Elephas maximus indicus: one gene and its partners. The protein of the gene in region 1 interacts with the protein of each later gene in a pairwise test. Links are inferred from orthologs where the notes say so. Each region holds a gene or a part of one and is shown on either strand. Other genes may lie near its edges.

Region 1 (6,592 bases):
GGCCCGTGGGGACCCCCTACCCTCCTCCTTACCCACACAGCAGCTGGGAGGCTGGACAGGCTTTCCTATTTCCCATTTCCCTGGAAGTATTTTTCCATTTCTTCTAACGGTTTCTAACCGTTCACCTGCGACCCCAGACCCAGGACAACAAGACACAAGTGCATATGCCCAATTTGGGTGTCCCAGCCCTGAGCCAGTACCCCCATCCCTTCCCTCTCTGATATGCTTCTGGAAGCCCCCTGGCCTCCTGTCTGCCCCTCTCTCTCAGCTGCGGGAGTATTTAGCAAACCACTCCTATCACCAGACCCCCTCCACCTGTGGAGGGCTCTCAGGAGACCCAAGGCGTGGGGGTGCCCTGTCCCATGGCCCCATCTCCACAGCCTCTTGCTCACTTTCCAGGGCTCTCTCCCTTAGGCTGGAAGCCCAAATCCACCTCAGCACAGGAATCCCTTTCTCCTTCCAATTTTTCCAGTCTAGGGGGAATTCCTGGGCCCCCACCCCTGTTTCTTACCTTACTTTGGTTTAAAGGGACAGCAGCCCCAAGTCACGCCTGGCCTAGGCTCAGCTGGTCAACAGGGACGGGACATCCACATCTCAGGCCTGGTGAGTGTCTCACCTCCTCCCCTTACCCCTCAATCTCTGCCTCCATTTACCATGTACACCCCCCCTACGGCTGCAGCATTAGACTGCAGAGCAGGTAGGCAGGGCACTGGGGTAGGGAGGACCCTGGAGGAGCAACTGTTGCTTCCTGGCCCTGAAAGGAGTCTTACAGAACAGCCAGTCCAATGGTCTCATTGTGCAGATGAAGAAAATGAGTCACAGCAGCCGGCCCCTGGCCAAGGTCACAGAGTCAAAGACATCCCAGGTTCCCAGACTCCCATTTTTTCTGCTCCATGGAGAGGGGGTGGAAGGTGCTGGAAGATGGATCCCCAGCCCTCCCACCTGCTCCCTCCTAGTCCCCTTCAGCAGTGCTTGGGGAGGGATGACCCCTGGACAATTCAGAAGCCAGAGGCCTAGGAAGCAAGGCAGGCCAGAGATGGGTTTTTGCCCCAGAGGGGCAGTGTATAGAAGCTTCCAGAAAGACCCCGTGCCTGCCACCCCCATGCACTCTAATTACGGCTGCCTACATTTTCAGTTTCTGGCAGGCCCTGTGGCTGGTGCAATCGTCAGCTGTCAGGCCTCTCCAGGGAGCTCAGGCAGCTGCCTGAACACTCTGGAGCTTTCTTTGACCCTGAGCCAAAGAGGGAGGGGCCAGTTCAGCCACAGTTAACAAAGGCCTGCCAAGGGCATGGCTACTGTGGCCAGGGCCTCAGACATGGTGCAAAGGAGGCTGCTCAGGAGCACCCCAGACTTCAGGGCTAGGGAGGAGAGAAGGGGCTGTCTCGGATGCAGGAATGCCCAGACCATACAATAGGTAATGAAGCGGGGTAGGGCTAGCACCTGCCCTGTGGCTTCTGGAAAACCTCTGGGGGTGAGCACTGAAAAACTACCCTTGGCAGCTCAGCGCCCCAGGATGCCAGAGTCGGAGTCTCAAATTGTCAAAGAACAATCGGCCAGTCAGGGCTGACTTCCACCCCTTGCTCTGCTAACCAAGCCCTGTGGCAGGTGTCCGGTATCACCTCCTGAAGGAAGGATGCCTGGTCAGGGCTGGAAGGGACCCAGAGTGCCTGGCCCCACAAGGAACCCTTAGCTGCACACCCCACTCTGCACTCTGGGAGCCTACAACCCACAGCCCTTCCTGGGCTGCCTGGGAAGTCTCTTGACTGATGGGCAGGGAATCAAGAGGCCTGAGTTCCAATCCCTCCCCACCCTTCCCAGCTTTGTCACCTTGGGGCAATTCTGACCCTCAGTTTTCTCATCTGAATAACGGAACTCTGATAAGATACTTTGAAGTAGTAAAGCACATACATACAACTTCGTTGAAGTTGCAATGTCCAAAATTAAAGGCCAGGAGCACTTACTGAGCCCCAGGCCTGTAACAGGCTTTATTGCATTTGAGACTCACCACAACCCTGCAGGGTGGGCGCATTTATTATTTACCCCATTTGACAGATGGGACATGTGGGCCCAGAAAGACCACCAGTACCCAGATTCACTCCCAATCCCGTCTAACCCCCAAATGCAGTTTCCTACCCCCACCCCCATCTCGCCCAGCGCGGTGCTGCCCAGAGCCATCCATGTCCCTCCCTTGTGATTGACTGGATGATATGAAAGTTGTCCCTCAAGAACTGACCCACTGAAGATGGATATGCATTCTCAGCCCCCAGATCGGGGTGCTGTGGGGCCCCCTGGGTTGCACAACTTCCTCCTCCGGCTGGGCCAGCGGGGATGGACTCTCCACACCCTGGTTTCAGGTGAGATGAAGGGAGCGATGAACGGAGCTGTGTTCAAAGGGCTGGCAGCCAGCAGACGGCCCCCACCCAAAGGGCGTCTGGGCCTGGCAAGGCTGCACTTGAAAGCATCCTGACCACACCTGACAGCTCCCTCTAGGGTGGGGTGCCCTGGGCTCCAGTCTGGGCCAAGGTGGACAGGCAGGGGCAGATGAGGCCCTCCCTGGTTCCTGATCTCATCTCTGTTTTATAGAGCTAGGGATAGGTGGGGCTGGACATGCTAGGGAGCAAAGGCCTGGGCTTCCTGAAGCTGAGACCCTTGGGGGGCGGCCAGTAGCTCCCAGCAGAAACCCACTGGGCTTATGACATGATCCAGCAAGAGAAATGGGGCAGAAGTCAGGAGTCCTGCCTGCCTCCCACCCTGGGCTCTCCAGACCCCCGGAGCTCAGAGGCCTTTCCAGAGGTGGCCTTGGCTTCGGGGCCCAGTCCTGGCTTTTCCCCGATGAGCAGCAGGGAGGTAAGAAAGAGAGGTGTCTGTGTGCTCTCTTTCAAAGAGGAAACCGAGGCTCAGAGAGGGCATGAGACTTGTGGCCACCCCCAGCCCATCAAGATGAGCAACCTCGAGTCCTGGCTCCCATTCTCTCAGGTATGCCTGGAGTCTGGGCCTGGCCAGGGCAAGGCCTTAGTGGCCTTGGTATAGGTCCCCTATAGACCTGGCAAGAGGAGGGCCTCAGCCCCAGCATAAGGGTAGCAAGTAGAATGGGCTGGGAAAAGAGGGACCAGAGGACCCCAGGGCAGGAGCCCCACAAGGGTAAGAGCCCTGGATACTAGGAGGCAAGAGGTCTGGCTCTGTTAGTGTTTCAAGTGGACTCCAACTCATGGAGACTCAGTGTGTGTCAGAGTAGAACTCTGTTTCATAGGGTTTTCCAATGGCTGATTTTTTTGGAAAGTAGGTTGCCAGGCCTTTCTTCTGAGGCTCTTCTGGGTAGACTCGAACCTCTAATCTTTAGGCTGGCTGTCAAGTGTGTTAACCATTTGTACCACCCAGGGACTCCATCTATCACCTAGAATCCCTCTTTCCCTTTGTGCTGTGGGAATCAGATACAAAAGGGGGTTTGAAATCATAAGATGCAAAAGGACAAACTGAGGCTACAGAAAGGAGGTGCTTTGCCCCAAATTACACAGTAAGTCAACGACAAAGCCCAGACTAGATTCCAGATTGCTGCACTTCAGGTTCCCTGTCCAGTGCTCCTTGAGAAACAGATATAACAGGAGATTTGGCAATAAGCTTCCCCCACCACCACCCTCTCAGGACTAGACCTGGGGGTTTCTAAGCTGGGCCAGCCCAGTTTACTAGGGGCAGGGAAGAATGTCAAACCCACACATGCCAGCTCCTCTGCCACAGGGCTGGGGTGTGGAGAGAACAGACTTGTACACACTATCCTTCCTCTGGGTTTTTTTTTTCATCCTTCCTCTTCCCTCTTGTGCATTTCAAGTAGATAATAATAATAATATTAACAATCATTAGGTACCAGGCCCTAAGGCCTGGCACTAAGCCACAGAAGCCTTCATTATTATAAGCATTATTATTACATCATCTCCATTTTCCAAATGGGGAAACTGAGGCACAAAGAATCTCATTTGCCCAAACTAATACAATTAGGGGCAGAACCAAGATGTGCATTCAGGCAGAACCAGAGTCTGGTTCCTAACGACCACACCAGATTGTTTCTTAAGGCATTGTATCACAGACACAGTGTGGTTCAAATCCTGCCTCCGCTGCTTACTAGTTGTGTGGCCTGGGACAAGTAACTCAAACTCTCTCGGCTTGTCCTCCTTAACAAAAGAGTGGGACTGTCCACTGACCGCAGCTCAGAGCTTTAGCGCCCAGGCCTGCAAGTGTCCGGCCAACACTAGTACGTGCGCTCCAGCCCTTTTTTTTTTTTTTTTAACAACAGAAGGTTCCCGATGTGGGCAGGGCCTTCCTCGCCTCACCCCCGCCCCCGCTCCCGCCCCCGTTGGAGGAATGCAGGAGGAGGGACAGACCCCAGCCAGTCATTGCCATTAATAGAGACCTGAAACACCGCCTGCTAAAAATATCCGGTTGGAGACCCATAAAAGCCCTAGCGGGGCCAGCCGCCCCACATTCTCCGAACTTCAGCCAGACGCATCCAACCGAGCTGAACCAGCATGACTGAGCGCCGCGTGCCCTTCTCGCTCCTGCGGAGCCCCAGCTGGGACCCTTTCCGCGACTGGTACCCGCTCCACAGCCGCCTCTTCGACCAGGCCTTCGGGCTCCCCCGGCTGCCCGAGGAGTGGTCGCAGTGGTTCGGCCACAGCGGCTGGCCGGGCTACGTGCGGCCGCTCCCTGCAGCCGCGGTCGAGGGCGCCGGGCCCGTGGCCGTGGCCGCGCCTGCCTACAGCCGCGCGCTCAGCCGGCAACTCAGCAGCGGCGTCTCGGAGATCCGGCAGACGTCCGACCGCTGGCGGGTGTCCCTGGACGTCAACCACTTCGCCCCCGAGGAGCTGACGGTCAAGACCAAGGACGGCGTGGTGGAGATCACCGGTAAGGCCCCGCTCCCCTGCAGGCGGACGAAGTTAGTATGGCGAGAGCGGGCCTCCTGACTTAGCCAGCCTGGGGTGAAGAACTAGGCCGGGTTGGGGGGGGGGGGGCGGTTGAAGGAGTGGGCGCGGGGCCTGTGGGTTCGAAGTTAGAAGTAGCCAAGGACCAGGAGCTGAGCCGCCTGTCATGGCCACTCCTCCCGTCTGTTTCGCCTTCTATATTAGGGGGTAGTTCCTCAGGGCCCTTTCAGCTCTAAAAACGGCCTGTTTAGGGAAGAAACACCCCTTCCATCGTCAACTCCCAGCCCCACTCCCCAAATAATCAGGCTTTCCTGCGCCCCACCGTGCTGCGCCGCACCCGGCGTGCTGTTGGCATGTAGCGGCGGGGACGGTCCCGGCGCTGCCCCTGCCCGAGTCTCTGCTGGGGGCGTGCAAGTGCTCAAGCGCCTGCAAGGCCCCGCGAGCTGGCGCAGTGCCCCCACGGTCCAAAAGACCGGAACGAATTTTCCAGGACTTTCTGAGAGAGGGCCCGGGAGAGGCGGGTCCCCCAAACCCCTAAGTCCATCAGCGTCTGCCTTGCGCCCCAGCCACGCCAGGGCAGGTGGCGGGGCCCCTGGTTCATGACTACCCCCTCCCCACAGGCAAGCACGAAGAGCGACAGGACGAGCACGGCTACATCTCCCGCTGCTTCACCCGGAAATACACGTGAGTCCTGGCCCCAGATTGTCCCGGAGATGGGGTGAGGGGGCTCACGGGAGGGAAGGGGCTGGGTGGAAGGCCGCGGTGCCTACCCTGTGTAACTCTTGGCCTCTCTCTTTGCATGCCCAGGCTGCCCCAGGGTGTGGACCCCACCCTGGTCTCCTCCTCCCTGTCCCCTGAGGGCACACTCACTGTGGAGGCCCCGATGCCCAAGCCAGCCACCCAGTCTGCCGAGATCACCATTCCTGTCACCTTTGAGGCACGTGCCCAGCTTGGGAGTCCAGAAGCTGGGAAGTCCGAGCAGCCTGCTGCCAAGTAAAAGTCTCGACCTTGCTGCCCAAACACCCCCACACCCCAGTAGCCATCGCTGGCCATCCCCACTCACCAATCTGTATGCTCTTTTGATACGTTTACCTTCAGTTTTTCTCAAATAAAGTTCGAAGCAACCGCCAGGTGCAGCCTCAGACTCTGGTGTTTGTGGAGGGCTGTTGTGGGGGGGGGTTAGTACCCTGCACACTCACACACACACACACACTCACACATTCATTGAAATTGCTGAGGGGCTACCGGGAGCCAAGCCCTGGGGATATAGTGTATATGTGACAGGACACAGCCCTGTCTTTAAGCCCCATGACCATTAAGAGAGAGGTAATGTTTTTTTTAATGGCTGTAACTAGACAAAACCTCAAGGGCCAGGTGCGGGACAGGGAAAACCAGGAGGGGCAATTGACTCTGGCTTTCAAACTCAGGAACATAAAGACAACTAGCCTGGGGTCAGGTGAAGGGGGACAGAGAAGGGCTGGGGGAGGGGAGCGACCTGGGAGCTCAAAGTTCTTTCCTGACCACATTATCCTCCAGAGAGGGGCAGGACCATGCAGAAAGTGTGGCAACTCCAAAGTGGCTTTCTGAGGGGGGTGGGGTGGTAGCCTCAACAAAGCACCTAATCCTCTGGCCCCCATGCCCAGAAATGCAGGCTGGGACCTGCAGAGAGTGAAGTGAAT
Region 2 (7,972 bases), on another chromosome or scaffold:
TGCTCAAGGCGGTTTCTTAATTTTAAGTTGGAGTAAATATCCCCAGTATCCTAAATTGAGGAGACCTGGTTAAGTGTTCAGCTGCTAACCAAAAGGTCGGCAGTTAGAATCCACCAGGCACTCCTTGGAAACCCTATGGGGCAGCTCTACTCTCTTATAGGATGGCTGTGAGTTGAAATCAGCTTGACAGCAATGGGTTATCCTAAACTGAAACTCCATCTAAACTTTTGTGACTTTATAAAAATTTGCCTTGAAAAATGTATAGAGACCAAAGTTTATCAGTGGTTACCAGGAGCGAGAGGGAGGGGGAAAGGAGGACCCACTGTTTAAGAAACAGTGAGCTTCTGTTTATGGTGATAGGAAATTTGGCAATGATTATGGGTATGGCTGCTCAAAACGATTAATGTAACGGATATCACTAAATTGTACATCTGAAAAATGTTATATTGGCAGCTGCTATGTTATATACATATTCTTGACAATTAAAAAAAATTTACCTTGGGTTTGGTGTGCTTCTCCTAGGTTGTATGAATAATTCTTTTCTGGCACTCTCTTTCCTACCTCAGGCCCTTTGCCCACGCTGATCCCTCTCCTGGAAAGCTTTCCCCTGATTCTTTGCAGAGCTGACTCCTTCTCATCCTTCAGTTCAAATGCTATCTCCTTAGAAAGATCTGCCCTGAACATCCGCTTCAAAACTTCTTCTCATCTATTTCCATATTTATTTCCTTCCCAGCACTGATCACAATCTGTAATTTTCTTGTTTATTTATTTACTTCTTTGTATCCTCCACTCTAACGTCAGCTCCTTGGGGGCTGGGATCTTGCCCACTGATGTCATTATCTACCCCCAGCATCCAGCACAACACCAGGTATACAATAACTATCTGTTGAACAGATGAACTTGTCTAACAAGATGCACACCAATGTTGTAAGGCTGTGGACATACATACATGGTTATCTTAATGCGACAGCCTAACTTAAAAACCATCTAGGACTTCAACTGTGGCCCTCATAGTAGCCCATGTTTCATAATAAGTTGCTCAGGGCTTAGGAAGGGCCACAGTGCAGCCTGGGGGTGCCCCAGTGATGTCACACAGGACTAGATTCTCTAATCCTTATCATTCTATGACAATCTTCTAAACAGCTAAGTTTTTCATGATACGATATGGTTGGGGGGGAGGGAGGAAGGAGCACTAGGATGGGGGGGCTCACACCCCCCAAACAAAATTAGTTTGGGGGCATTATCAGTTCACATGTACTACTCCAGGAGCGAGTGGGGAGCAGATGCCGTAATTTGGACTAAGCTAAAAAAGAGAGAATAGAAGAATGGGGAAAAGAAAGGTGAAGAAGATGGAGAGTGAACAGAAGAAAATGAGAAGAGCGATAAGGAAGAGAAAAGAGAGAAGAGAAAGACAACTGAAGAAGATGTGTGTGAGAAAAAGGCGTGAAACACGTAGTGAAAGAGCAGGAGGTAGGAAGACTCGAAGCTGTTCTGCTTGGCTTTGTAACTCTTGGGTAGTTAACTGGCTTTGGTGTGAATGGATGGATGGCTCAGGTGAAGGGGATTCTAGGTCTCCGCCCCCCCCCCCCCCCCCCCCCGCCAGAGGTCACTTAAATTGCTGAGATTGTTTTGAGAGGCCCAGGCAAGGCTGTCTCAGGATGATTCTCCTGGGTGCTTTCACTATAGTAATTTGGCAACAAAGAGTGTAAACCTCTTCTTTAAGTCATGGTTGTGAGAAAAGGGGAAGAGAGTATTGCTGACCAGTTTAAGTTTTTATACTCTCCACCACAAACCCTGTCCTTACCCCAAACGTCTCAATTACTAGGTTAATAGCACCAAGTTAAATTCAGGACATTAAAGCCAACTTTCAGAAATATTTTCTGTTAAATGAAATTCAAACAGATTTCTAAAGCAGAGTAGCATAGTTTTATATCTATAAAAATTACTAAAATACAGTTATGGCAATATATACCCTACTGATGTTCCACAAAGGAGCCCTGGTGGCACAGTGGTTAAGCATTCCACTGCAGACCAAATAAAAGGTTAACAGTTCAAACCCACCATGGGAGAAAGATGTGGCAGTCTGCTTCCATAAAGATTTACAGCCTTGGAAACACCCTATGGGGGTAGTTCTACTCTGCCCTATAGGGTTGCTATGAGTCGGAATCAACTCAACAGCAATGGTTTTGGTTTGGTTTTTGATGTTCCACAAAAACTTACTATGAAGAGCCCAAATATGTGTACAACACCCAGACAAGGCTGAAAAGAGAAAAACAAACAAAACCCTTTAACTCTTTTTCAATTTTTTTCCTTCTAAATATTTAAAATTTTTCCTTAGTATGAGATTTAATGACAGGGATATTATAATAGCAAGCATATTTAATCAGAAACTATTGACACTTTTGTTCTGAATTTTACAACGTTAATCTTATAATTCATGAGTTTTTTAGTTCATACCAAAATGTATCCAGAAATAAATAACAGGAAGGTGCAGGTTTATTGGTAGTCTGTGGTACACTGTGAAGATTACTTATAAATCTCTCTGTGCTCGTATTTTCTATTTTTCTCCCACTTCTGCTACAATTTGGCCAGATCCTTCTATAAGTGTAGAGCAGAGAAAAGAAAGGGGTGGAAACCTAAAGGAAGGGCACAGAAAGATGGGCAAGACCTTCAAGTTCTCTGTGGCCCACTACTGCCGTTGATGAACCAGCTTCTACCTCATGAATAAGAAAATTAGTTTTTTTTTTTAAGAGCATGCCAAATCATGGTTGCCACATGGGCTTTTCTATTTCAGAGTGATAACGACTCCACCATCATGCTAATTGTGCTATTACTTGTCTGACGTATTAAGGATTTCAGTAGGGCAGAATTTCGAAGATCTTCGTTCCAATTTCTTTTGTTGGCAGGTGTGTGGAGAAGTAATTAGGAAATGTGTCCTCAGATGGGATCAAATGCATAAGTGAATTTTTTTACTTTGCATATCTGGAAATGATCCATCTTCATCTTACTCTAAGAAATCTCAAACCCAAAAATATTGGGTAGAGTGATTTTGGGGTTCCTTGGAGATTTGACCAGTCAGTGACCATTTGGCAATACTGTTTGATACTGTTGTTGCTGTAGTTAGGTCCCAGGTCTAAAAGTGGAAGGCACAGAACCTTCCCACAAAAGACAAATTGAAAAAATTAGACAGGGCTCTTACAACTTTAAAAGCAGCTAAATAATGCTAGCTGAATGACAGAATGACATAATAAATAACTCTCTTTTGATCTAAGAGTTGAGGCAACAAAGTGGTTTTAGGAGATAAAGAGTACCAGGGTGCAAAATGCTACAGTAAGCTCCGGAGATAAAATGGAAAGGCCTCACCACAAACTTACTTTCCTATTGGCCAGGGCTCAATTTGACTAATATTTTCAGGTGTTCTTTTTAGAGTACCTCCCTCCTACAACGAAGTATTTGATTTTTCTTTGCATACACCAAAGCATCTTTTAAAGCTCCACGGATTTTTCTTTTAAACTTCTGTGACTGCAAAAGTGGTGTAGATGAAACCCACTAACCGGTTAATCCTCCAACAAGAGAAAGGCGCCACAGCCAATGGGAACGTGCTGGTGATGTATTGCTCTTAGTTCTGATTCATTGGCCACCTAAGGTTTGTCATTCTACCCCCAGCGTCTGCAAGTAGCGTGGGTCACATTTTCTGAAGTCTAGCTAGCTGAACTGGATTTTAGCCATCTGCACGTGCAGTTTCAACTAAGTTTAGCTCATCTCTAATTCTTAATAGAAACAGCTGTTACGCTTCTGATTCTCCGGATTTTGAACCCTCCGTTTCTTAACCCCAAAGGAGGTCGTTGTAGGTCCCCTGTTACAGAATAACGTTATGTCTAGCATGTGCGAATGTGGAATCCCATGAGTTACAAACTGAAAACCTGCCAGAAACTCAGAACACGTGCCCCGTGCGTGAATAAGTTGCACCCGAGTGTGGGTGGGTGGTGGTAGGGTGTGTGTGTTCTTGCTCTTTGGAGAGCGAGGTGTTTGGCCGTGGCACCACCGTGGGCCTCCCTGGGTCACCTGGGGTAGGATGGCTCTGTGAAAACCGGGGCACCGGGGAAGGGGGTCTGGTTGGGGCACGAGACCAAACGAGCGTCCTAAGAGCAGTGGCCAGGCCGCGACTAAATCAGAGAAGGGTGGAAAGCTCGAGGTCAGTCCTTGGGACTCCGTGGGCGGCGTCTCAGCAGGGACTGTCGAGGGGCAGGGAGTGGGGCGTGCATCTGCAGACAGGTGGAAACTCCAGGAGAGGAGGTGCGGCCGCCCTGGGGGGCTCTTCCGAGATCCCCTAGGGCCGAAAGCCGGGCTTTGAAAGGCTCTCGAATCCACCGGGCCCGAAGAGTAGCACATTCCATTCAAGCTCCGGTCCCAGTTCCTATCCGGAATCCGGACGCTCCCCTCGGCCTCGGCCTGGAGCCTCGGTGGGGAGGTGGCAGCAGCGGCAGGCGAAGCATGGTAGTGACGTCATTCAGGGCCGCCCCTCCCCCTCCCCCTCCCCCTCCCCCTCCCACCGGCGCTAGCCGCAGTTCCTGCCCAACGACATCCGGGTCTCTCCAGCTGCTCCGCCGCGCCGCAGCTGTAGCGGCGGCGGGGCGGGGCGGCACGGGGCGGGGGAGGGGCAGCGCGGCTCCGTCGTGAGCGCGCCTGCGCGGGGGCGCGCTAGAGACAGCGGCGGCGCTGGGGACGGGAGCGCGCGCGGGAGCGAGGGAGCAGTGGTCTCGGCGCCGGCCCGGCCCGGAGCTTTGGGAGCTCGGGCGCCTACGGCTCCGGAACGGGTGGCCGGGGTGGGGGGTGGGGGGGCGCCAGGCAGGTGGGGCGCGAACGCGATGAATCCTCGGGTCTTCCTCCTCTTTCTCCGGGACCCGCTCTCCGTCTCCCGCTCCAACGCCCGGATGATCTGAGCCGCGAGGGCGCCGAGAGCCGGGGGCCCGGACGCAGCCCGGCTCCTCCCCGCCTCCGCCCCCTCCCCTGCCTGACCCGGCGGACCGCCGCCGAGGTGACCCCCTCCCCGCCCCTCCCCCGGCTGCCGCCGCCGCCTCGGCCGACCAGGGACCTGCCAGTCCGCGGCTTGCTCCGGGTAAGCGCGGCGCTCGGGCTGAAGGCGGGCGGGCGAGCGGCGCGGGCCTGCGCAGCGGCGGCGCGGCCAGGCCTGGGGCCTGTAAACAAGCCGGGCGTCTGCCCGGGCGCTCCCGAGAGGAGACGCGACAACTCCACCCCCTGGCCGGCCTCCTTCCCGGAGCCAGGCGGCGGGCGCCGAGGGGTTAACGCTCCGCGAGGGCGGGGGCGGGGTGTTTGTGGTGGCGGCGCTGGGAGGGAGCGCGACCCTCCCACGGCCCGGGCGGGGTGTTTGCGGCGGCCGTGCGGGCGGGGGCCGCGGGTCGGCCTGGCCCGAGAGCGGCCGGCGGAACTTTTTCGGAGCGAGGAGCGGGCCTCGCGGCTGCCGCCCCCCCACCCGGCCGCGCTGCCCTGGGCTCCAGCCCCTGGGAGGGAGGCCGGGAGGAAGAAAGGGAGAGGCGTCCTTTGGACCGGACTAGCCCTCGAAACACCAGATTCTGGGGGATTTGCTTCAGGCTTTATAGGGAGCAGGGCTGAGAGTGAGGCTGCTTCAGAACTCGAGTCGGTGACGCCTCCAATTCATTCATGTTAAGACATCGAACCGAATCATTGAAGTAAATTATACTGATTTTTCCTCCTCGTCTTTTTAATCGTGGAAATTGTTTGGGTAAAAGTTCTTAGTGTTAGAGCTTGGTTAAGGTATGGTTCTCTTCTGCTTTGTAGATTTTAAATAAACTTGGAGCCTTTTCTTGAAAGACAGCTGGCTGTGGAGAGCCTTCTACCAACTGCAGTTTTAGATATCTTTTGGAAATTTCATCACCTGAGGTATTTTCGTTCTCTCTTCTCCAGCACCACATGGTACTTACAAATCCGCAAAGGTCGTGCTTCAGTTGTCCAAGCCAGGAAACATATGCGCCGCCCCCGGTCCCAAGTTTTCTGCTAATTGGAATAATGAGCAGACTGTGTTTTAAGAAGTTATTGAAAGAGTATGGGAAGTGTAAAAATCCATGGGAGATGTGTATTTCTTTCCCAGAATAAATGATTTTGAGATTATTGAAAGAGATTAGAAATTTTTTTAATTGTTCTTACGAAAAAAATCTAAAAACTTTTCAGACTTGCACGTTCTGGTTTTAAACACAACCATGTTTCAAGTACAGAGAGCGCTGAAGAGACAGAGAATTTATTTATTTAAACAGTACTCTGCTGAGCCTTAGGGGCTTCAGAGCTCTCAGGAGTCCAGCTGGCAGAGCTTGGTCCCTAACTCCCTTTTTAACTGGAACAACTTCACTTTTATATTTTTATCTTTTTAATATTGGGCCTCTTCCAAAGATTGTATTTCTGTAACTTTACAGAAGAGAAAATAAGAGTAAGAAGATAGTGACCACTCTCTGAAACTTTCATTCCTCCTCCCCTCCCCCCCAGTTTTCTAACCCTGGATGTTAATTACTTAATGTTTCTTTTGCCAATAAGTAATTTGAAGCACACAGTAACATTTGTTTCATGAAATTATAGTTCTGTTCTTATGTGTAACTCGCGTATATCTGGTTAAACATTCAGTCATGTTGGAATGATTAGTTTTAACCTGCAAGTTTACAGCAAATACCACATTATTAAAATTATAATGAACTGCACATGGAAGTTGCTTAAGACATTTTTTATTTGATAAACATTTTCCTCATCAGTGAAGTAATTTTGTGTGAAGTAATTATGTGGAGCTGTATATTAAGACTAATAGTTTGAAGTTAGCTACTTCAATCTGTGTTATATTTGAGAAATACTATGGTTGAGTGCCAGAGTCATCAACATTGCTTTTTACATGGGTTGTATCTTTTTATATTTAGTATGAAGGGTAGAAGTGGTGACTATACTTACAGTATGATCTTTTTTTTTTTTAGTCAGTATGATCTTTTGAAGGGGACACTACTAGGAGGCAAGAATTGTTTAGTCATGGCTGTGCTCCAAAATAATCTGTGTCCATGGACAAGTCCTTTAACCTTTTGATTCTCGGTTTCCAAAAACCCTAAAGTGAAAGGGGCAGATTATTTTATTTATCAAATGTTAAATTTTTTATTCTCTCATCAACATTATGGAGCCCTGGTGGCACAGTGGTTAGGAGCTTGGCTGCTAACCAAAAGATTGGCAGTTTGAATCCACCAGCCACTCCTTGGAAATCCTATGGGGCAATTCTCCTGTGTCTTGTAGGGGTGCTGAGTTGAAATCGACTTGATGGGCAACCAGTTTGGTTTCTTTTTTTTTTGGCGTCAACATTGTGTGTCCGACATTCAATGTACTATGACCAAATGCCTGGTACGTACTAGGCACTTAGATGCTTCAACATTCTAAAGCTGATTTTCTTTCTGGGTTGTGTTTTATTTAAGAGAACTTTAAGTTGTTCAGTGTTTGTTAGGAAAGATACTCTAGTAAATAAACTTTATTGATTTCTCTGTTGAGATTGGGAAGAAACTCCTGGGAGAAAGGACAGAGATTCCGAGGGACAAAAGATAGCTAAGACAACAGGTTTGAACAAGTGCTCTGCCCTGGGTAGTTTGATATGAAGGACATTGTAAGAGTTTTGCTGACAGTTCATGCTCGGTCTTGCTTATCTTGACTTACTAAACCTTCATTTGAAAATTTGTTCCTAGTGCCTGATTTTTTTTTTCCAAAAAAACCTATAAACCAAATCCAAACCCATTGCTCTCAAGTAGATTCCAACTCAATAGCGACTCTGTAGGATAGAGTATATAACAAATCTATAGCAACATCATTATGTCACATGGTAAATATTGCTCAGCACTTAACTAAAAACCTGTAGTCTTTGAATTTGTTCCGATTAAACCTAGGCTTTATTGTAATGGCTCAGAATGTATAGCTGATT
Region 3 (6,984 bases), on another chromosome or scaffold:
TGAAAGAACTGAAGAAAAAATTCAAGCTTTGACTTGCAATACTGAAGGATTCTACGGGGAAAATATTAAACAATGAATGAAGCCTCAAAAGAAGATGGAAGGAATATACAGAGTCACCATACCAAAAAGAATTGGTTGATGTTCAACCATTTCAGGAGATAACATATGATCAGGAACAGATGGTACTGAAGGAAGAAATTCAAGCTGCACTGAAGGCACTGGCGAAAAACAAGGCTCCAGGAATTGATGGAATACCAGTTGAGATGTTTCAACAAACGGATGCAGTGCTGGAAGTGTTCACTCGTCTATGCCAAGAAATTTAGAAGACAGCTACCTGGCTAACCGACAGGAAGAGATCCATATTTATGCCTATTCCCAAGAAAGGTGATTCAACCGAATGCAGAAATTACTCAACGATATCATTAATAGCACATGTAAGCAAAATTTCGCTGAAGATCATTCAAAAGCAGCTGCAGTGGTATATCGACAAGGAACTGCCAGAAATTCAAGCCGGATTTAGAAGAGGATGTAGGACCAGGGATATCATTGCTGATGTCAGATGGATCCTGGCTGAAAGCAGAGAATACCAGAAAGATGTTTACCTGTGTTTTATTGACTATGCAAAGGCATTCGATTGTGTGGATCCTAACAAATTATGGATAACATTGTGGAGAATGGGAATTCTGGGACACTTAATTGTGCTCATGAGGAATCTGTACATGGATCAAGAGGCAGTCATTCAAACAAAATGAGGGGATACTGCATGGTTTAAAGTCAGGAAAGGTGTGAGTCAGGGTTGTATCCTCTCACCATACCTATTCAACCTGTTTGCTGAGCAAATAATCTGAGAAGGTGGACTATATGAAGAAGAACAGGGCATCAGGATTGGAAGAAGGCTCATTAACAACCTGTATTATGCAGATGACACAATCTTGCTTGCTGAAAGTGAAGAGGACTTGAAGCACTTACTGATGAAGCTCAAAGACCACAGCCTTCAGTATGGATTACACCTCAACATAAAGAAAACAAAAATCCTCACAACTGGACGAAAAAGTAGCATCGTGATAAACACAAAAAAGATTGAAGTTGTCAAGGATTTCATTTTACTTGGATCCACAATCAATGCCCATGGAAGCAACAGTCAAGAAATCAAAAGACACATTACATTGGGCAAATCTGCTGCAAAGGACCTCTTTAAAGTGTTGAAAAGGAAAGATGTCACCTTGAAGACTAAGGTGTGCCCGACCCAGGCCACGGTGTTTTCAATCATCTCAGATGCACGCGAAAGCTGAACAATGAATAAGGAAAACTGAGGAAGAATTGACGCCTTTGAACTGGGTTGCTGGGGAAGAATACTGAATATACCACGGACTGCCAAAAGAATGAACAAATCTGTCTTGGAAGAACTACAACCAGAATGCTCCTTAGAAGCAAAGATGGTGAGACTAAGTCTCACATACTTTGGACATATCAGGAGGGATCAGTGCCTGGAGAAGGCCATCATACTTGGTAAAGTAGAGGGTCATCAAAAAAGAGGAAAACCCTCAATGAGATGGACTGACACAGTGGTTGCAACAATGGGCTCAAGCATAGCTACAATTGTGAGGATGGTGTAGGACTGGACAGTGTTTTGTTCTGTTTGCATAGAGTTGCTATGAGTTAGAACCAACTCAATGGCATCTAACAACAACGTACGTGTATACATATATACACACACGTATGTATGTATGTATATATATACACACATGCACACGCACAGAAATACACATATCTGCACATATATTTTTTAAACATGATTATGCATGTTTTGTGACTTGCTTTTCCTTTTAATAATAGACATATTTTCAAGATGATGAAAATAGAACAATATCCAAATATTAAAGTTTATTAACGTTCCATTATGAATAGCATATGGAGCAGCAGATAGAATCATTGATCAAGAGGTGGGCTTTGGAGATAGATAATGGAGGACTTAAGTCCTAGTTCCTCCACTTAGAATTTTTGTAACCTTGGATAGGTTACTGGTTGCTACAAACCTTAGTTGCTTAAGGGAAATAATGAGGTCTACTTGGCAAGGGATAGTAAGGTATTGGCAGGGCGTCCAACTCAAATGCTTTCAGTATGAAAGACCTGAAGAGGAAGAACCCTGATTTTCAGAGTTCAGGCAGTAATGCTTTGGCATGTGTCCTAATGAGGCTTTCACAACACAACCCCAAGTCACACTGAGAAACAAAACAAAGCAATACACTGAAGGCCAAAACAAACAGAAGAAGGAAGAGAAGGAGGAGGAGGAAGAGTACAGAAAAGAAGCCCCAAAACAAAACTAGAACTCTCATACATTGATGGTGGGAATACAAAACGGTGTATCCACTTTGGAAAAGAGTCTGGCAGTTCCTCAGCAGGTTAAACATGAAGTTACAATAAAAAACCCCATTGCTGTTAAGTCCATTTGGACACATAATGACCGTATAGGATAGAGTAGAACTGCCCCACAGAGTTTACAAGAAACACCTGGTGGATTCAAACGGCTGACCTTTTGGTTACCAGCCAAACTCTTAACCACCATGGCTCCAGTAGGTGCCAGCAATTTCACTTCTAGGTATATCCCCAAAGGAAATAAACCCACACATTCATACGAAAACTTGTACAAACATGTTCATAGCAGAATTAGTCCTAATAGCCAAGAAAGTGGAAAGTCTATCAGTTGATCAATTGATGAATAGATAAATAAAATGTGGTATATCCATATAATGGAATATTCGACAATGAAAAGAATTAAGTACTGATACATGCTACAATATGGATGAACCTTGAAAACATTATGCCAAATGAAAAAAGTCAGCCAGGAAGGACCACACACAGTGTGATTCCATTCATATGAAATGCTCAGAGTGCAGGAAAATCCATATGAAGTACCCAGAGTAGGAAAATCTATAGAGACAGAAGGTAGATTAGGGAACGGAGGGTTGGGGGAAACAGAAGGTAGATAGGGAAGAGAGGGTTGGGGGAAATGGGTGGTGACTGCTAAGCAGTAAGGGGCTTCCTTCTGGTGTGATGAAAATATTCTAAAATTGACTGTGGTGATGGTTGTGCAACTTGAAAACACTAAAAGCCACTGAATTTTCAATGGGTGAATCGTATGGTATTAGATTTCTACTTCCATAAAGCTGTTTTTTAAAAAAGCAAACTAGGGCATTATGATTTTGGATCACAAGAAAATGGTATATAAATGTTGGATAGAAGAAGCCCTTAAGTTGGCTATTACTCATTGATGGGTATTTATGTTTTTCTCACAGTGATCAACATTTTTAAAAGCATAGCATGTACATAGCAACACAACATGGAGCACCTTCCCAGGCACCGTTTCCTTTGGGAGTCTTTGGAGATGCAGAAGAGGCCCACCCTCCCTCCAAAAGGGCTGTGCAGAGGGCATGTTCTTGGGAATATAGAGTGTGAGTAAAGCATCCTTTTTTAGTTAGAATTTTTCTGTCAAAATGGTAATACAACACACAAAAACAAGCCCTTCTAGTATACTTTCCAAAGCCTTGCTTTGGGTAAAAGTTTTACTATGAGCTTGTATTGTCGTAAGTTCCAGTAGGAAGTCATACGAGGTGGTTCTGCTTTGATCTCATTTATGGAACTTCCCAAGCCCTTGGAGCAGAGGAAAACGAAGCCTCCCCCTCTGTTAGGTTTCTCTGACTCCTTCTAATAACGGGTATTAACCTAAACACGCTTTGGGTTTGAACACATCAAGTCAATTTCAACTCACAGCGACCCTATAGTACAGAGCAGAAATGCCCTCATAGGGTTTCCAAGGCTGTAAATCTTTAGGAAGCAGACTGCCACACCTTCCTCCCGCGGAGCAGCTGGGGGATTCCAACCGCTGGCCTTCCGGTAAGCAGTGAGTGCTTAACCACTGTGCCGCCAGGGCTCCGAACACATCTAAGCTCCTTTGAAAATACGTTTGGCTTTTGAACAGCTGATGTGGTAACAGGTGGGGGAGAGGGCTTGGCCCGACTGTGCCAGGGGGTGTGGAAATGCGGAATTTGAGCCAGTTAATTTGAGGCCTTCTATTCAGTCAATAGAAGGCGTCAAATAAAAAAAAAAAGGGAGGGGGGGCAGGGCGCTAAAGAACTTGCAGCACAATAGGATGTACATTTCTAGCCACCCTTCCCCCCAGCAACGCGGTGCCAGTAGGCGTCTGGAGCCCAGAAAGTTGCTCTTCCCGCAACAAGGACACTACTTCCGAGGTACCAGCCTGGCTAAGCCCGGGGTGGGTGCCGGGGCAGTGGGGTGCCAAGGTGTGCGGCGCACAGGGCCTGGGACGGGGCCGGGGACGGGGACGCGGACGCGGACGCGAACGCGAACGGCGGGGTCTGGGACGGGGCCGGGGACGCGGACGGCGGGGTCTGGGACCGGGACGGGGACGTGGACGCGACCCGAGGACGAAGCGGGGAGGGCGGCGCTCGCGGGTCAGCGGAGGTCGGCGATTGTGTCGGGAACCTGCAGGGCGGTGACGGCGGGCGGAGCAGCGGCGGGTGATGTAAGGAGCCGCGGGGTCCCAGCGGGAGAGTCAACGCTGTGCGGCGAGACCCCAGGGGCGCGGGATTCCAGCCCCGCCCTGTCCTCCCCGCCCTCCCCCCGCCACCTCACGCCCTCCCCCCCTCTTCCCCTCTGGTTGGAAAGTTTCTAGAATCTCTTCCCGGCGGCCTTTGCGGTTCCAACATGGCGGAGCTGACGGTGGAGGTTCGCGGCTCCAACGGGGCTTTCTACAAGGTACTGACCTTTCTGCAGCTCGGCGGGGTCTCCGGAGGGCTGGGGCGGGCCTGAGGGAAGGTTGGCGGTCTCCAGCAGTGCGGTCTGGGGTCGCAAAGGGCGGCCAGGCCTAAGCTCAAGGCCGCCAGGCCCCTGGCTTAGCTCCCCTCGGCCCGCGGTTTAACGGTCTCGGGGTCCCGGGCTCCGTTATGTTTTTCCAAGACGTCGGACCCTCCTGGCTTTCTCCTGCTGCCGGGCCTCCCTCATGGCGGCCGGCGAGGCCAGGCCGAGTGGGTGCCCGCAGGCGGCGAGCGCCGTGGAGGCAGGCCCGACCGCCGGCGGTGGGAGCCGGGAGAGGGGGCGGTGGGTGGTGGCGGCCGCCGCTCCCCGCGCTCGCTCTGGGCGGAGGGGGCGCCCCTGCCTGCGCCCCCGACCCTCCACACCCGGAGGACGTCGCGGAGACTTAGGAATCCACCTTTCTGTTGGGCTTCAGGCCGGCCAGTTTTTCAGTCTCTAAAGGGGAAAAAGAGGGTACCAAATTGCGGGTTAGCAGCGGAAAGAGAAAACTAGAAAACCTCGAAATGTGGCGGGGAAGTATTTTTGCGGACTGGGAAGTGGGGCGGCGCCGCGGCCCCTCTGTTAACGGAAGAAAAGCAGAGAGTCCAGCGAGGCTTTAAAGTGAGACTTCAAAATGTGAAACGGATCAGGGAGACAGGTGGGGAGTATACTCGTTTCTCTGTATCCGTTACTCTTGTGTTTTTGGAGGGAGGGTGTTGTCTTTTGTTTTTTTTTCCGCGAGTTCCCCCCCTCCCCCGGTTCCCTTTGGGAGGAAAGAGATGGCATTCCTCTGAATTGGGGCAGGAAGAGGCGGAGAGGGATTCCAGAGCAGGGGAGTTTGGTGTAGTGTAGGGGCTGCCAGCGTAGGTGCCAGACAGCGAAATGAAATCTTAAAACAGTTTATTTTCATCATTACAATGTCTCCTTTTTCCGATTCTCCGTTTCTCCCTAAGTATGCCAGGATGTTACAAGATCAATACAAGATCTCTACAGCTGCTGTCTGTCAGTCACTCTCACTAAGCCAGCATCTCAAATGTTTGAGAGCCCTGGCTATTTTTATGAAGGGCCTTCTCCTGATACAAGAACACTGTGCGTACGCAGAAGGAATTCTCACTGGGCCTACCCATGGGACTTTATTTTTGGTGGTCATGTTTTCCTGTTTTCGGCGTTTTGTTTTTCCTTTCCGAGTTTACCGATTAGCTCCGTGCATTTGGTTTAACTGTCACGTGGTAATAGTATAGTGGGGAGTCACAGCTGGCGTATAAAGGATCCGTTTAAGCTTTTTCTAAGTTTAAATTTTCTTAGGTGGTCAACGTGAGAGTAGAAGCAGTGACTGCCTGGTGGAAAGGAGTCATTAATATGACCTGTTAATATGACACTACTTATATTAGCAGTCTAGGTATAAAACTTGGTGTCAGACAAAGGACCTAAGTGGAATTTGAATAATTTCATTGACTTCAGTTTTTTCTGAAACCTAGTGGTTGCATTCTTTCAACGACTGAAAATAGGATTAGTTGGGGCACGGTGGACAAAGAATTGGCTCACCATACTTTTCCTATAAAGGATAGACAGAGCGGTTCATCATTTTATGTCAACACTTTTCCCCCATGAAGAAGTTTCAGATTATCACTGTTTGGCTTTATGTTTGGCTTTATGTTTCTTGTGTCATAGATGAATTTTTCTCATGCGTTTTTCCTGCATATTCCTAAAAATAGAAAATGATCACATTACTTTAACAAATTGTTTTGCAGCCTGTAGGTGGTAGAACACATTTCGACTTTAGTCAGGTGTATGTGTTTTATTATGTTGATAGCCTGCTGTCCAAGATTTTCTTCATTTTTACTTTCTTTCTCTTTGGTTTTGTAGTATTCATTATTTAAAGTCATCAATTTGAATGGTTTAGTGAAGGTTGTTTGTAGATTGGCTTCTCATGGTGGGTTTCTTCCCCCCTGTCAAGTAACAGTAAATCAAATGTCCCCGTTCTGGAATCCTGAAGTATTTATTATTGATCTCTGTCCATACTGTGCAGATCTACTGCTTGGTTCTACTTACTTTCACTCCATGGTCCATCTTATGTAACAAAGTGAAGTGGCTTTCTGGGAAAGGTTGAGAGTAGAATGACTCAAAGGGAAGGACCCTAGCCACAATTGTGTGTACTAAAATGATATTTGC

The links. The genes of interacting proteins can lie anywhere in the genome.
Region 2: the proteins of HSPB1 (region 1) and PPM1A interact in a two-hybrid assay, tested with the Homo sapiens proteins (2 studies listed by BioGRID and IntAct). The link is inferred for Elephas maximus indicus from reciprocal best matches to the Homo sapiens genes HSPB1 and PPM1A.
Region 3: the proteins of HSPB1 (region 1) and FXR1 interact in a two-hybrid assay, tested with the Homo sapiens proteins (2 studies listed by BioGRID and IntAct). The link is inferred for Elephas maximus indicus from reciprocal best matches to the Homo sapiens genes HSPB1 and FXR1.

What each region holds. Positions count from the first base shown.
Region 1 is NC_064830.1:94,249,969-94,256,560, reverse strand, and holds HSPB1 (heat shock protein beta-1), read left to right. Parts: upstream 1-4,400; 5' UTR 4,401-4,520; coding exon 4,521-4,896; intron 4,897-5,533; coding exon 5,534-5,597; intron 5,598-5,720; coding exon 5,721-5,910; 3' UTR 5,911-6,074; downstream 6,075-6,592. UniProt on the Homo sapiens protein: Small heat shock protein which functions as a molecular chaperone probably maintaining denatured proteins in a folding-competent state. Plays a role in stress resistance and actin organization.
Region 2 is NC_064828.1:72,637,267-72,645,238, forward strand, and holds the start of PPM1A (protein phosphatase 1A), read left to right. Parts: upstream 1-4,966; 5' UTR 4,967-5,119; intron 5,120-5,372; exon of another isoform or gene 5,373-5,711; intron 5,712-5,820; exon of another isoform or gene 5,821-5,922; intron 5,923-7,972. UniProt on the Homo sapiens protein: Enzyme with a broad specificity. Negatively regulates TGF-beta signaling through dephosphorylating SMAD2 and SMAD3, resulting in their dissociation from SMAD4, nuclear export of the SMADs and termination of the TGF-beta-mediated signaling.
Region 3 is NC_064819.1:34,108,919-34,115,902, reverse strand, and holds the start of FXR1 (RNA-binding protein FXR1), read left to right. Parts: upstream 1-3,978; 5' UTR 3,979-3,994; intron 3,995-4,171; exon of another isoform or gene 4,172-4,180; 5' UTR 4,181-4,250; intron 4,251-4,659; exon of another isoform or gene 4,660-4,686; 5' UTR 4,687-4,725; coding exon 4,726-4,776; intron 4,777-6,984. UniProt on the Homo sapiens protein: mRNA-binding protein that acts as a regulator of mRNAs translation and/or stability, and which is required for various processes, such as neurogenesis, muscle development and spermatogenesis.